Callithrix jacchus: one gene and its partners. The protein of the gene in region 1 purifies or fractionates together with the protein of each later gene. This does not show direct contact. Links are inferred from orthologs where the notes say so. Each region holds a gene or a part of one and is shown in the gene's direction. Other genes may lie near its edges.

Evidence for each region.
Region 2: the proteins of EXOSC10 (region 1) and EXOSC9 purify together in Homo sapiens (co-immunoprecipitation; 7 studies listed by BioGRID and IntAct, with this or other methods). This does not show direct contact. The link is inferred for Callithrix jacchus from reciprocal best matches to the Homo sapiens genes EXOSC10 and EXOSC9.
Region 3: the proteins of EXOSC10 (region 1) and EXOSC7 purify together in Homo sapiens (affinity purification with mass spectrometry; 6 studies listed by BioGRID and IntAct, counting the BioPlex papers as one, with this or other methods). This does not show direct contact. The link is inferred for Callithrix jacchus from reciprocal best matches to the Homo sapiens genes EXOSC10 and EXOSC7.

What each region holds. Positions count from the first base shown.
Region 1 is NC_133508.1:48,971,009-48,975,253, reverse strand, and holds the start of EXOSC10 (exosome complex component 10), read left to right. Parts: upstream 1-1,316; 5' UTR 1,317-1,359; coding exon 1,360-1,470; intron 1,471-3,674; coding exon 3,675-3,811; intron 3,812-4,245. UniProt on the Homo sapiens protein: Catalytic component of the RNA exosome complex which has 3'->5' exoribonuclease activity and participates in a multitude of cellular RNA processing and degradation events.
Region 2 is NC_133504.1:75,883,585-75,887,891, reverse strand, and holds the start of EXOSC9 (exosome complex component RRP45), read left to right. Parts: upstream 1-1,371; 5' UTR 1,372-1,470; coding exon 1,471-1,536; intron 1,537-1,852; coding exon 1,853-1,947; intron 1,948-2,678; coding exon 2,679-2,798; intron 2,799-2,932; coding exon 2,933-3,035; intron 3,036-4,307. UniProt on the Homo sapiens protein: Non-catalytic component of the RNA exosome complex which has 3'->5' exoribonuclease activity and participates in a multitude of cellular RNA processing and degradation events.
Region 3 is NC_133516.1:27,748,711-27,752,353, forward strand, and holds part of EXOSC7 (exosome complex component RRP42), read left to right. Parts: intron 1-1,115; coding exon 1,116-1,239; intron 1,240-2,605; coding exon 2,606-2,761; intron 2,762-3,350; coding exon of another isoform or gene 3,351-3,443; exon of another isoform or gene 3,444-3,462; intron 3,463-3,643. UniProt on the Homo sapiens protein: Non-catalytic component of the RNA exosome complex which has 3'->5' exoribonuclease activity and participates in a multitude of cellular RNA processing and degradation events.

The sequences.
Region 1 (4,245 bases):
CCTGGAATCCTTGTGAGGTGGAAGGACGGCTTTTCACGAGTTTGAGACCAGCCTGGTAAGAGGCAGTCTAAAAAAAAAAAAATTAGGTCGGGCACTGGTGGATCACGCCTGTAATCCCAGCACTTTGGAAGGCCAAGGCAGACAGATCACTTGAGGTCAGGAATTTGAGACTAGCTTGGGCAACATAGTGAAACCCCATTTCTACTAAAAATACAAAAAAAAAAAAAAAAATTAGGCATCATGGCACACACCTGTAATCCCAGCTACGTGAACCCAGGAAGTGGAGGTTGTGGTGAGCTGAGATTGCACCGCTGCATTACAGTCTGGGCAGCAGAGTGAGACTCTGTCTCAAAAAAATAAAATATAATTTGGCTGCATGCTGGTGGCTCACACCTGTAATCCCAGCACTTTGGGAGACCAACAGAGTGAGACTTTTTCTCAACATAATTATTTTTATTTTTATTTGAGACAAGGTTTTGCAATGGTTCCATTTCGTCTCACTGTAACCTCCGCCTCCCAGGCTCAAGCCTCAGCCTCCCGAGTAGCTGGGATTATAGGCGTGTGTCAACACCCCCTGCCAATTTTTGTATTTTTAGTAGAGATGGGGGTTTCACCATGTTGGCCAGGCTGGTCTGGAACTCCTGACCTCGTGATCCGCGCGCCTCCGCCTCTCAAAGTGCTGGGATTGCAGGCGTGAGTCACAGCGCCCAGCCTCAAAAACATAACTTTAAAAAATATATATTTTTTTGCGACACGGTCTCAATGTCGCCCTGGCTGGAGTGCAGTGGATCAATCCATAGCTCACTGCAGCCTCCATCTCCTGGGCTCAAGCAATCCTCCCACCTCAGCCACCCGAGCTGCTGGGACTACAGATACACACCACCACACTCTGTAATCCCAGCTTATTTATTTATTTATTTTTAATAAACACGAGAATAAACGGGGCTCGTGGCCCTCGCCTGTGGTCCCAGCTACTTCGCAGGCTAAGATGGGAGGACTGCTTGAGCCTTGGAGTTCAAAACCAGATTGAGCAACATGGTGAGACCCCGTGTCAAAAATATATGTGATAATCAGGTCCTCCAGGCCGCACCCTAGACCACAGCGTTGTTGGGATGATACAACATTAGGTAAAAGAACTTGAAGTTCATGACAGAGCGCTCGGAGGTGACACCCCAATCGCCCTCCGCCCCTCCGCCCCTCCGCCCCTCCGCCCCTCCGCCCCTCCGCCCCTCCGCCCCTCCGCCCCTCCGCCCCTCCGCCCCTCCGCCCCTCCGCCCCGGCGTACGCGAGGCGCGCACGCGTCGCGTCGCGTCGGCGGAGACGCTATCGCGAGAAGAGCCGTGCAAGGGGGGGTGAAAAATGGCGCCGCCCAATACCCGCGAGCCCGGGGTCCTGTCGGCGACAAGCGCCACCAGATCTGACGGGGAAATGGTGCTGCCAGGCTTCCTGGACGCCGACAGCTTCGTGAAGGTGAGTTCGCGGGGCTTCGGGGGTTCCAGGAGTCTCCCGCGGCCGCCGGAAGCCGACCCGAGAGCTCTGGGCATCCAATGCCACCTCGCCGCATTAGAGCCCCGACGGGGGTCGCGGGGTCACTGTCCGCAGCGCGGACTCTACCTGCACCCTGCGGGGATGGGACCTCGGAAACGGACGCTTAGGGACGTCCCGCTTGCCAGCTTAAGTTCACGTAGGCCCAAATGTGGAAAGCCGTATCGCATCCTAGAAAGGGCTTCCTTGCCACCCAGACGTCCCCAGCCCTTGCAATGTCCCCCCCGCCACTCCTGAGCCACCCGGCCAACTCTCCTCAGGGGCTCGGCTGTTTCGCGCTCCCCACACTTGTCCGGAGTTGTCCCCTCCCGCGGCCGGGATGGCCTCTCTTCCATTCCTCTGTTCCGCTGTGCAATCCTACATAATTTTTAAACCTAAGTTAAATGTCACTGGTTAAAGCCCCATTGCACGTTTATCAGTAACTCCTGGAAGGTACACAGAATGGTTCACTTAAGTTATTTGTATAACTTAGCTTACACATGAACAAACATACAACTAGGTTTAAACTGTGCATAGCTCTTACAAAGCCATGAAACTAATTTGTAAATTAGCTCTGTAAATTTACAGAAACTCCACTCACGTTGTATCTATCTAATTTGCCACTAGCTAATGCTATTCATTTGTTTGGCTCTCAGTAGTTCCTGGACCACTAACTGTGATCCTGATTGTGTGGCACTTATGCTCATAAGCTACCATGTGCGCCTCCATGGCTTAATTTCCCACCTCCTTTCTCTGCTTTTTTCTTGGGAAATATTTATTCACACAACTCACAGTGACATCATTTGGCCTTCACATGGTCAGCCATCATCTATATCACTTTGCGTTTTTTCCATTACCTCACAAGAGTTAAAATAGAGAACCACTTGACACTAACTGAACAATAAACACAAATCCAGTTTTAGATAGTAGCTATTATAAATTGACAGTCCAAGGATCTAGGAAAAGCTTGCGTTGTTTTAAGATGCTCATCAAAATGAAAACACGGAAACAAATTCCTGTAGAAAGCTCTTGGATCTGAACTTGAGTCATAATAATAGCAGTTATCTGCCAAGAACTGTCCTAAGTGCTTTTATTAGCTTAGTCATTCAATCCTCACAAAAACTATGGTGCAGGCCCTTTTTATTTTTCCCTTTTTTTCAGAATAGAAAACTAAGGTCCAAATAAAAGAAATCACTTGCCCAGATGTTTGTTAATACATAGCAGTGTGTCAAGATTCAACCCAAGGTTTTTGTGCGTATTAATCATATTACATACCTGTGTGTTTGTTCTGTCTCTCAACTCTCCCAAGAATATAAGCTCCAAACTTGGTTTCTGTTCACGATTCTGTATTCTCAGGGCCTAGATTAGATTGAGGTTTGTACTAAATGAGTTTCGTTGTTGTTGTTTTTTTTTTTTTTTTTTTTTTTGAGGCGGGGTTTTGCTCTTGTTTCCCAGGCTGGAGTGCAATGGCGCGATCTCGGCTCACCGCAACCTCCGCCTCCTGGGTTCAGGCAATTCTCCTGCCTCAGCCTCCTGAGTAGCTGGGATTACAGGCACGCGCCACCATGCCCAGCTGATCTTTTGTATCTTTAGTAGAGACGGGGTTTCACCATGTTGACCTGGATGGTCTCGATCTCTTGACCTCGTGATCCACCCGCCTCGGCCTCCCAAAGTGCTGGGATTACAGGCTTGAGCCACCGCGCCCGGCTGTTGTTTGTTTTTTGAGATAGTGCCACTGCACTCTATCACCCAGGCTGGAGTGTAAGTGGCACTATCTTGGCACATTGCAACCTCCTCCTCCCAGGTTCAAGCAATTCTTCTGCCTCGGCCTCCTGAGTAACTGAGACTACAGGTGTGCACTACCACACCCAGCTATTTTTTGTATTTTTGGTAGAGACGGGATTTCATCATATTGGCCAGGCTGGTCTCGAACCCTGACTTTGTGATCTGCCTGCCTTGGCCTCTCAAAGTACTGGGATTATAGGCGTGAGCCAGTGCACCCAGCCCTAAATGAGTATTTTTTTTGATGGATGAAGAGTAGACATCTTCAACATCTACTGCAATGCACTGTATACAATAGATCAAAAAAATGATACCCAATGAATGGGAATCCATGTGTAAAACATGCCATCTTTTCTGGTTTTTGACAGTTTGCTCTTGGGTCCGTGGTGGCGGTCACCAAAGCATCTGGGGGCCTACCACAGTTTGGCGATGAATACGACTTTTACCGAAGTTTTCCTGGCTTCCAAGCATTTTGTGAAACACAGGGAGACAGGTTGCTTCAGTGGTAAGTACTATATTTTGTTACCTTGTGAAGGAAATAAAAACAAAGAGGTAGATAAATTTTTTCCTGAAATTTATTTTTCCTTAAACATTTTCTGTGGTATGAAGAGCTATAAAATGTGAAATAACAAAGCAATGGATTTTGATTAGGGAAATATTACTTGGTATTTTTTAGTTTAGCTTTTAAGAAATGTATTGACTTTTGTACAAATCTTTTTGTTTTGTTGTTGTTGTTGTTGTTGTTGTTGTTGTTGTTGTTTGAGACAGTCTTATTCCGTCACCAGGTGCCAGGCTGGAGTGCAATGGCGCGATCTTGGCTCACTGCAACCTCCGCCTCCTGGGTTCAAGCAATTCTCCTGCCTCAGCCTCCCAAGCAGCTGGGACTACTGGCGCATGCCACCATACCCAGCTAATTTTTGTATTTTTAGTAGAGATGGG
Region 2 (4,307 bases), on another chromosome or scaffold:
GAGCCCGCATCCCATCTCATTTTTGCATGTGTTACTCTTTCTGCTTGAAACACTTTTCCTCTCCTCCAGATGGCATCAAAGTTGCTCCTGCTTAACATCAAAGATTTATTTTACTTAAATGTCACCTCTACAAAGTCACCTGTTCCTGCAACTACCCCTATTAAGATAGCATTCCTATTCTCAGATAGACTTACCACTGTATGAAATTGTTCTATTTGGTTTAGGGTTTTTTTGTCTCTTCCAAAAAGAATATAAATTCCTTGACAGAAGGGATCTTGTCTACCTCATTTCTCCAGCACTCAAATTATTCCTGGACACAGTAGGCCCTCTTCAAGTATTTATTGAGTACATGGTAGTACAAAGTGAGACTAAGATGTATCACTGCTAAAAAAAAAAAAAAAAAAAAAAAAAATGTGAGAAGCTACAAAGAAGCCTAAGAGCCTGCATAGGAGTTACAGTGCCTACCACCCTCTAAAGCAAAAGGAAACAAAATAATAATATGCAAACACTTAAATAGTGCTTACTCCATGCCAGGCACTGTTCTAAGCGTTATATGTATATATAAAAACTCATTTTTATCCCTCATAATACACAGGTTTCTCATTCGCATTCCCCCACTTTTTTTTTTTTTTTTTGCAGGTGAGTAATGTGAAGCACATAGGTCAACTTGCCCAGGGTTATAGTAGTTAACAATAGACTTACAATTTGAACCCTGGCAAGGAACACTTATTAAAACTATTATTTGATACTGCCTCTCCAAAAAAGCTGAGTGGTTGGCAGCATGGCCCCGCTGTTTCTCTGTGACCGTAAAAATAAGTCTATCAACTTCAAATAGCTGGGGAGCGGATAATAAACGTATACTTAGTTTCGTCCACAGTAGCAGTAACGCCATTAGTTATTACGTGCAAACGTTCTCTATTCTCGTCAGCTTTTCAGATCCCACAAGATTTCACCTTTGGCAGCAATAACATCCCGTTTCACCATGTCAACTTTCTCCACCATCCCGTATACCCCCTCATTCCAGTGCTCGTTCATTGAATCTGCTCCGAACCCTGCATCTGCGGCTTTCTAGGGGCCAATGTTAATTCATCTGTAAAATAGCAATAGTATCTGTCTAGTCTCCACCCCGAGAAAGGACTGAGCGAAAGGTGGAGTGTGAGAGCGGTCTACTGATATTAATTTCTATCACTCTGATGGTTATTGTAAGTTTCCTTTTCTCCTCCGCACTTTATGAGCAAAGAAACGAAACTTCACGTTCAAAAACAGCCACCATAAGGGGCATTGGCTTGCCCTATTCACTGTTAAGAGTCTGCGCAGTAGCGAAGGCCAGAGCCCTTGCTTTCTCATTTTCCGCCGCCGCGCTTCGATGACGTAAATTTTCTGCGCCGCGGGACCGGCAGCGGCGCTTCAGGAGTCACGTTCCGTTTCCCCCGCGGATTTTAGTGCCAGTGGGACCCGGGACCCAACACCATGAAGGAAACGCCACTTTCAAACTGCGAGCGCCGCTTCCTACTCCGTGCCATCGAAGAGAAGAAGGTATGGTTTGGTCCCTGCAGAATTGGCGCGCTGCTTGGGCGCCAAGGTGTGAACTCATAACCCGGTCCGCCTGGGCCGGGGGAGCAACTAGGGGAGCGACCGGCGGGTGCACCCCAACCCTCAGGCTTTATTATTGTTTTTTCGACAGGTTCTTTTCAAGGCTCCCAGCAGTTGTCTGTGCTGTAGTTTCCGCTTTTCTATATGGGCGGGATGGTTAGGATTTCACTTTCCTCCAAGTGCTTAGCCCAGAGCCAGAAAAAGTAATTGCTTAAGAAATACTTGTTGAAGGAATAAATGAATGAATTTGTGCTTACAGCGGCTGGATGGCAGACAAACCTATGATTATCGGAACATCAGGATCTCATTTGGAACCGATTACGGATGTTGCATTGTGGAACTTGGAAAAACAAGGTAACAGAATTTAAATAATATATACATTCAAAAGGGAGAAGTTTTTAAAAAGACATATGTTTATAAACCAGCTAAGAAGTCTGGACGGTATCCTTTGTTGAGCTGACAAAAGTAAGTATTTTTTTATGCAAGATTTTTTGGTTTTGTGGTCACTATTGAAATTTGTAATCATAAACCTATTTTCTGTCACGTATCACATAGTTCTTTCTGACTTCTATACATCGTATAGACAACCAGTAGTGACCACACTGAATTTGTTTCTCATACTAGTATAGAGATCTTGAGCATCTTGTCATTAAGTATACATCCTGCTTTCCTCTTTTTCCTGAGTGACATGAAAATTAGGTTTTCTGATATTCATTTTAAAGTTGTGAGACTATTTGGTTAGATAATAGTGGTGAACGATGCCATGTGAAAACCCTTAAGAAATCTCAAGTTTTCATGCCATCTTGTATCAATAAATACTTGCTTTAGAGGTAAAGGTCATTGATTTTTAAAACAATCTGTGGAATAGTAAACATTGTAATAAGATTTTTTTTCTGTTGTGTTTTTAGGTGTATCAATTTATGTTTTATTTCTGTGTATATTATACTTTATATATAATTATATCTCCTATGATATATTTGGCTGAGTGTGATATTACTCAGTAAGGTTGAAACCTGCTGTTTCAGATTTTTTTTTTTTGGAAGGAAGATCTATTTAGTTAATACTTTGTTCCTTTATCTTTTCAGAGTTCTTGGACAGGTTTCCTGTGAACTTGTGGCTCCAAAACTCAATAGGGCAACAGAAGGTATTCTTTTTTTTAACCTTGAACTCTCTCAGATGGCCGCTCCAGCTTTTGAACCTGGCAGGTATTTAAATCTTTTTCTTAAGCTACTTTAGTCATAGGAGGACCTCACAGTAGTGACCTTTTTTTTTTTTTTTTTTTTTGAATACCTGGTGTTGTATTTCATGACATTAGCCCCGTCCTATTTTCCTATTATAGGCAGTCAGATCTCTTGGTGAAGTTGAATCGACTCTTGGAAAGATGTCTAAGAAATTCGAAGTGTATAGACACTGAATCTCTCTGTGTTGTTGCTGGCGAAAAGGTGGGGAATATGCCCAAATTTCTTTTTTTTTTTTAACCCCAAATCACATGGAATGGAGAATATGCCCAAAATTCTTAATCTTAGGATAAATATTGTTGATTCACGGATCCCAGTGTCTGTTTTTATTCTCAGAACTTTCGTTAACTCAGTTTTGTACTGGTTCACTTCACTTCAGATGTGATACCCTTAGAACTTTGTGCCATCTCTCTCTCTCTGAAGGGACAAAAAGCTTTATCTTTAAAGGGTAAAAATAGTAACTTAGATTTGTGTGTAAAATATTTTATTTAAAGAACTTGTGGCTTTTTCATATAATCTCTCATGTATTTTCTTATGTTACCTACATGAGTTCATAGAAGCAGGTAGTTTTCTTTTTTCATGCAGAACTCAAGAACAGATGAAATCACTCATTTTGATAGGTTTATCGATTTACACAGGGCCACATCATGTCAGTAGCAGGGATAACTTTGGAAATCTTAGTCCCAGTAAATTGTGCTGCATTCGGATATTAGAATTGTATTATTATTATTATTATTTTGAGACAGAGTCTCCCTCTGTTGCCCAGGCTGGACTGCAGTGGTGCAATCTCAGCTCACTGCAACCTCTGCCTCCCCTGTTCAAGCCTTCCGAGCAGCTGGAACTACAGGCACCTGCCACCACGTTCAGCTAATTTTTGTATTTTTAATGGAGACAGGGTTTCACCATGTTGGTCAGGCTGGTCTTGAACTCCAGACCTCAAGTGATCCACCTGCCTCAGCCTCCCAAAATGCTGAGATTACAGGGATGAGCCACTGTACCTGGCCAGAATTTGATTCTTGATTAAGGTATTTTGACAAGCTTTTTACTCCACAGAAATCATTTAGCTTTCCATATTCCATACCTAAGTATAATACTTCCTATTTGCATTACTTGTACCCTTATTAAAAATATCACAAAACCTAAAAGTTTAACTTTTAAAAATTTTTTATTTATTATTTTCTCTTAGGGATAGGGTGACACTCTTTTCCAGGCAGGAGTGCAGTGGTGTCATCATATCTCAATGTAACCTTAAACTCCTGGGCTCAAGGGATCCTCTTGCCTTAGCCTCCCAAATAGCTAGGACTACAGTGCATGCCATTTCACCTGGCTAATTAAAAAACATTTTTTTCTTTTTGTGGAAATAAGGTCTTGCTGTGTCGCCCAGGCAGGTCTCAAACTCCTAGGCTCAAGCAGTTCTCCCACCTTGGCCTCCTAAAGTGCTGGGATTATAGGTGTAAGCCACTGTGCCTGGCCTAG
Region 3 (3,643 bases), on another chromosome or scaffold:
GATCTGGGACTGAAACTGTGGAATATATATCTAGTGTCAAGATCTGAGAGCAGAGGGAGTTTGCTCTGGGATCTGGAATAAGTGATGGGGAAATGTTTTTAAAAAATAAACAAATAGGCTAGGTGCAGTGGCTCACATCTGTAATCCTAGCACTTTGCAGTGCCAAGGTGGGCAGATCGCTTGAGATCAGGAGTTTGAGACTAGCCTGGGCAACATGGTGAAACCCCATTTCTCTGTAAAAACAAAACAGGCCAGGCACGCTGGCTCACACCTGTAATCCCAGCACTTTGGGAGGTCAGGGCGGGTGGATCACTTGGAGGTTAGGAGTTCAAGACCAGCCCGGGCAACATGGTGAAACCCTGTCTCTACTAAAAATGTAAAACTTAGCTGGGCATAGGGGCACATGCTTGTAATCCTAGCTACTCGAGAGGCTGAGGCACAAGAATTACTTAAACCCAGGAGGCAGAGGTTGCAGTGAACTGGGATTGTGCCACTGCACTCTAGCCTGGGCAACGAAGCAAGACTGTGTCTCAAATAAACAATTGTGGGAGGATTCCTAGGTTTACTGCACTCCAGTTTATGCTTATATAGTACTCACACTCAGATCTTAGGACCTTTCAAGGGCTGACCCACCCATTTTCTGTGTTGTTAGTTTTTAAATGATATACAGAAGTTCATAATGTTAATATAATTGGATCTATAACTTTTTTCCCTTTTATGATAACACTTTCTGTATCCTGTTTAAGAAATAGTTGTCTACTCCAAGGTCATGCAGATGTTTTTTTCTAAAAGCTTTATTGTCTTATCTTTCACTTTTATATCTGTGGTGTATTTGGTACCGCTTCACGTGTGTGTGGTGTGAGGTAGGGATTGAGGTTCATTTTTCTTCATTTGGATATCTGATTGACCCAGCATTATTTTCTAAAAGATGCCTCTCCTCATTGGACTGTGGTGCCTCCCGTATGCTTTTGACAGGGACGAAGATAATAAAGGATAGGCATAGCGTACCTTTCTCTTTGAGACACAGGGATTCTAACTCCTATTCTCAATCTTAAAAAGAAGTGTTTTTTCCTCCTCACAGTAAATGGAAATTTTAATTGTGCTTCTGTTTCCAGGATACCAAGGGTTCGAGTTCTGGAGGACGAAGAGGGGTCAAAGGACATTGAATTGTCTGATGACCCTTATGACTGCATACGACTAAGTGTCGAGAATGTTCCCTGCATTGTCACTCTGTGCAAGGTATAAGCTTGTATTTTATGGTTTTTGTCTTCCCTGTGGATGTGGGTCTCCTCTAATCGCAATCTGCTGAGATTACTTAATAGGTTGATAAATTATAATATCACACACCATATAGAAATAGCTTTAACCCAGATCCAATAATTTGCTTATATTAGAAAAACACTACCATGAGTAGCTTTTTCTTTTCTTTTTAGTTGGAAGATATGATGTGGCCTGGGAGCCAGGAGTGTGTTTGTAGTAATAGTAGCCAGAGTTTGTTAAGCTCCTTCCACATACCATGTACTTCAGTAAAGCACTGTGTCCTTTAATTGCCTCAACTCTATTGGGCTTAGGGTGGCTGAGTAGTGGCAGGGTGGCAAACAATGCCCCCTCTATGAAATGGGAGATTAGAGCAGGTCTTCGGTGTCAGGAGTGGTTTTCCTATAGAGCAGAGGGCTGTGGAGCTCAACATCTGGCTGATGTGACGTATAACTAATGCTGCCCCAGGCTGTGCAAAGAGACCTGTATTGGCTATTAACTGGGATTGTAGCTAATTCCACTCAGGATTCATTATCTTAAAATAAAGCTAAACTGGTCAGATTTAATTCCACTGAAATAACTTCATGAACAGGATGTGGTGAAGTGTTCAGACAGCAGGGTATTGGGTCTTGCCTTTTTTTTTTTTTGAGAAATAGTCTCCCTGTGACACCCAGGCTGGAGTGCAGTGGCAGAATCTAGGCTCACTGAAACCTCTGCTGCAACCCACCCCCGCCACCTGCCCAGGCCCAAGCTCAAGCAGCCCTCACACCTCAGCCTCCTGAGTAGCTTGTACCACAGGCTAACACCACCACACCTGGCTATTTTTTTTGTATTTTTGGTTGATACGGGGTCTTGCCATGTTGCCCAGGCTGGTCTCAAACTCCTGAGCTCAAGTAATCCATCTTCCTCAGCCTCCCAAAGTGCTGGGAGGCATGAACCACTGCAACCAGCCTTTGGCTTGTTCTTGAGTGTGCCCCTTAGCATGGGCCTCTTGATTCCTCCTTGCCATCAGTGAAACATCGATGTGGCATTGTGTGGAATTTGTCCCTTGTGCCCCTCTGTTGGAAAGCCTCTGTGGCCTCTGTCTTGGATGGTCTCTGAATTCTAGTTTTAAACCCCCTTGCCCTATTTTTCCGTGTCATGTTTTTATTGTATCACCCACACAGTGGCCTATGAGAATTGTTGAACATTCCTTCAACTGTTTTCCTCATGAGCAGAATCTAAAATAAGACCTGGAATGACCTATGTGAATCCTTTGCCTGGTGTAGAGATTCCCACCACGAGGCCATCAAGAGTGGGGCTCTGGAGCCTGTGTGACCCCTGTGTGCTGTGTACCCTGCCTTTGCAGATTGGCTATCGGCATGTGGTGGATGCTACCCTTCAGGAGGAGGCCTGCTCCTTGGCCAGCTTGCTGGTGTCGGTGACCAGCAAGGGAGTTGTGACGTGCTTGAGGAAAGTGGGGAAGGGCAGCCTGGACCCAGAGAGCATCTTCGAGATGATGGAGGTGAGGCCCTGGTTTTGTGGATGGTGTGGGGACCTGGCCGGGACACCTGCTGCTTCCTGCCCACTTGGTTACACCGTGGGGATTCTTCCCATTCACATCCTTGACTTCAAACCTGGAGCTTGGAGAACAGTTGGTTTGAGCCAGGGGTCTGCTGACCTAACCAGGAGGGTTGGAGGGTGGAGACTCTGGACTGGGAGGTAAGGAGCCTACTGGCAACCATTGCTTATCCTCAGTAAGTCCCCCTGCAACTCATTTCTGTGTGTCTAAATAAGACTGCTGGACTTCCATAATGGAAAGAGCCACTCGTAACTCCAAAATCACAGGCCTTAGTGACTTGTTGAAGGAATTGAATTCTTGGCTCACTGCTTCCTGTCCCTTGAAGTTGGTGAGTAAAGGTGGAAGCAGGGGTTGAAGTGTGGCTGTCTCCCAAATTCATTACAACTCTAGAAGTGTTTAAATGGAGACAAGCAGGGATGGTGAGAAATCCGACCCCCTGGAGTTGGGAGTGGGTTGTCCCCATTCCTGTCAGAGCCATGAGGGCACTTCTAAGTTCTCTGTACTGTTTTCCCCACGTCTGTCACTTCACTAGCCTGGAAGTCCTTCAGGGCAGGGACAGGGTTCTGCTCACCTGTTTTCCAGACCTTCCTTCCCCTCCATCCACCTCACCTTTCTGACTGACTGACGGAACTTCCAGGAACAGAGTGAGCTGGATTTGATTATTCATACTTTCTTGTAACCTCTATATCACCATGCATGCCCAGAGATCATTGCTTAGTAGCAAGCACTCTTCCTTCATTTTTAGATACGATGACCTCTTACTGAAGAATTCAGGAACATGACTTCTACTTTCTTTCTTTATCATGTTATTTAAAAGGGCAGAAT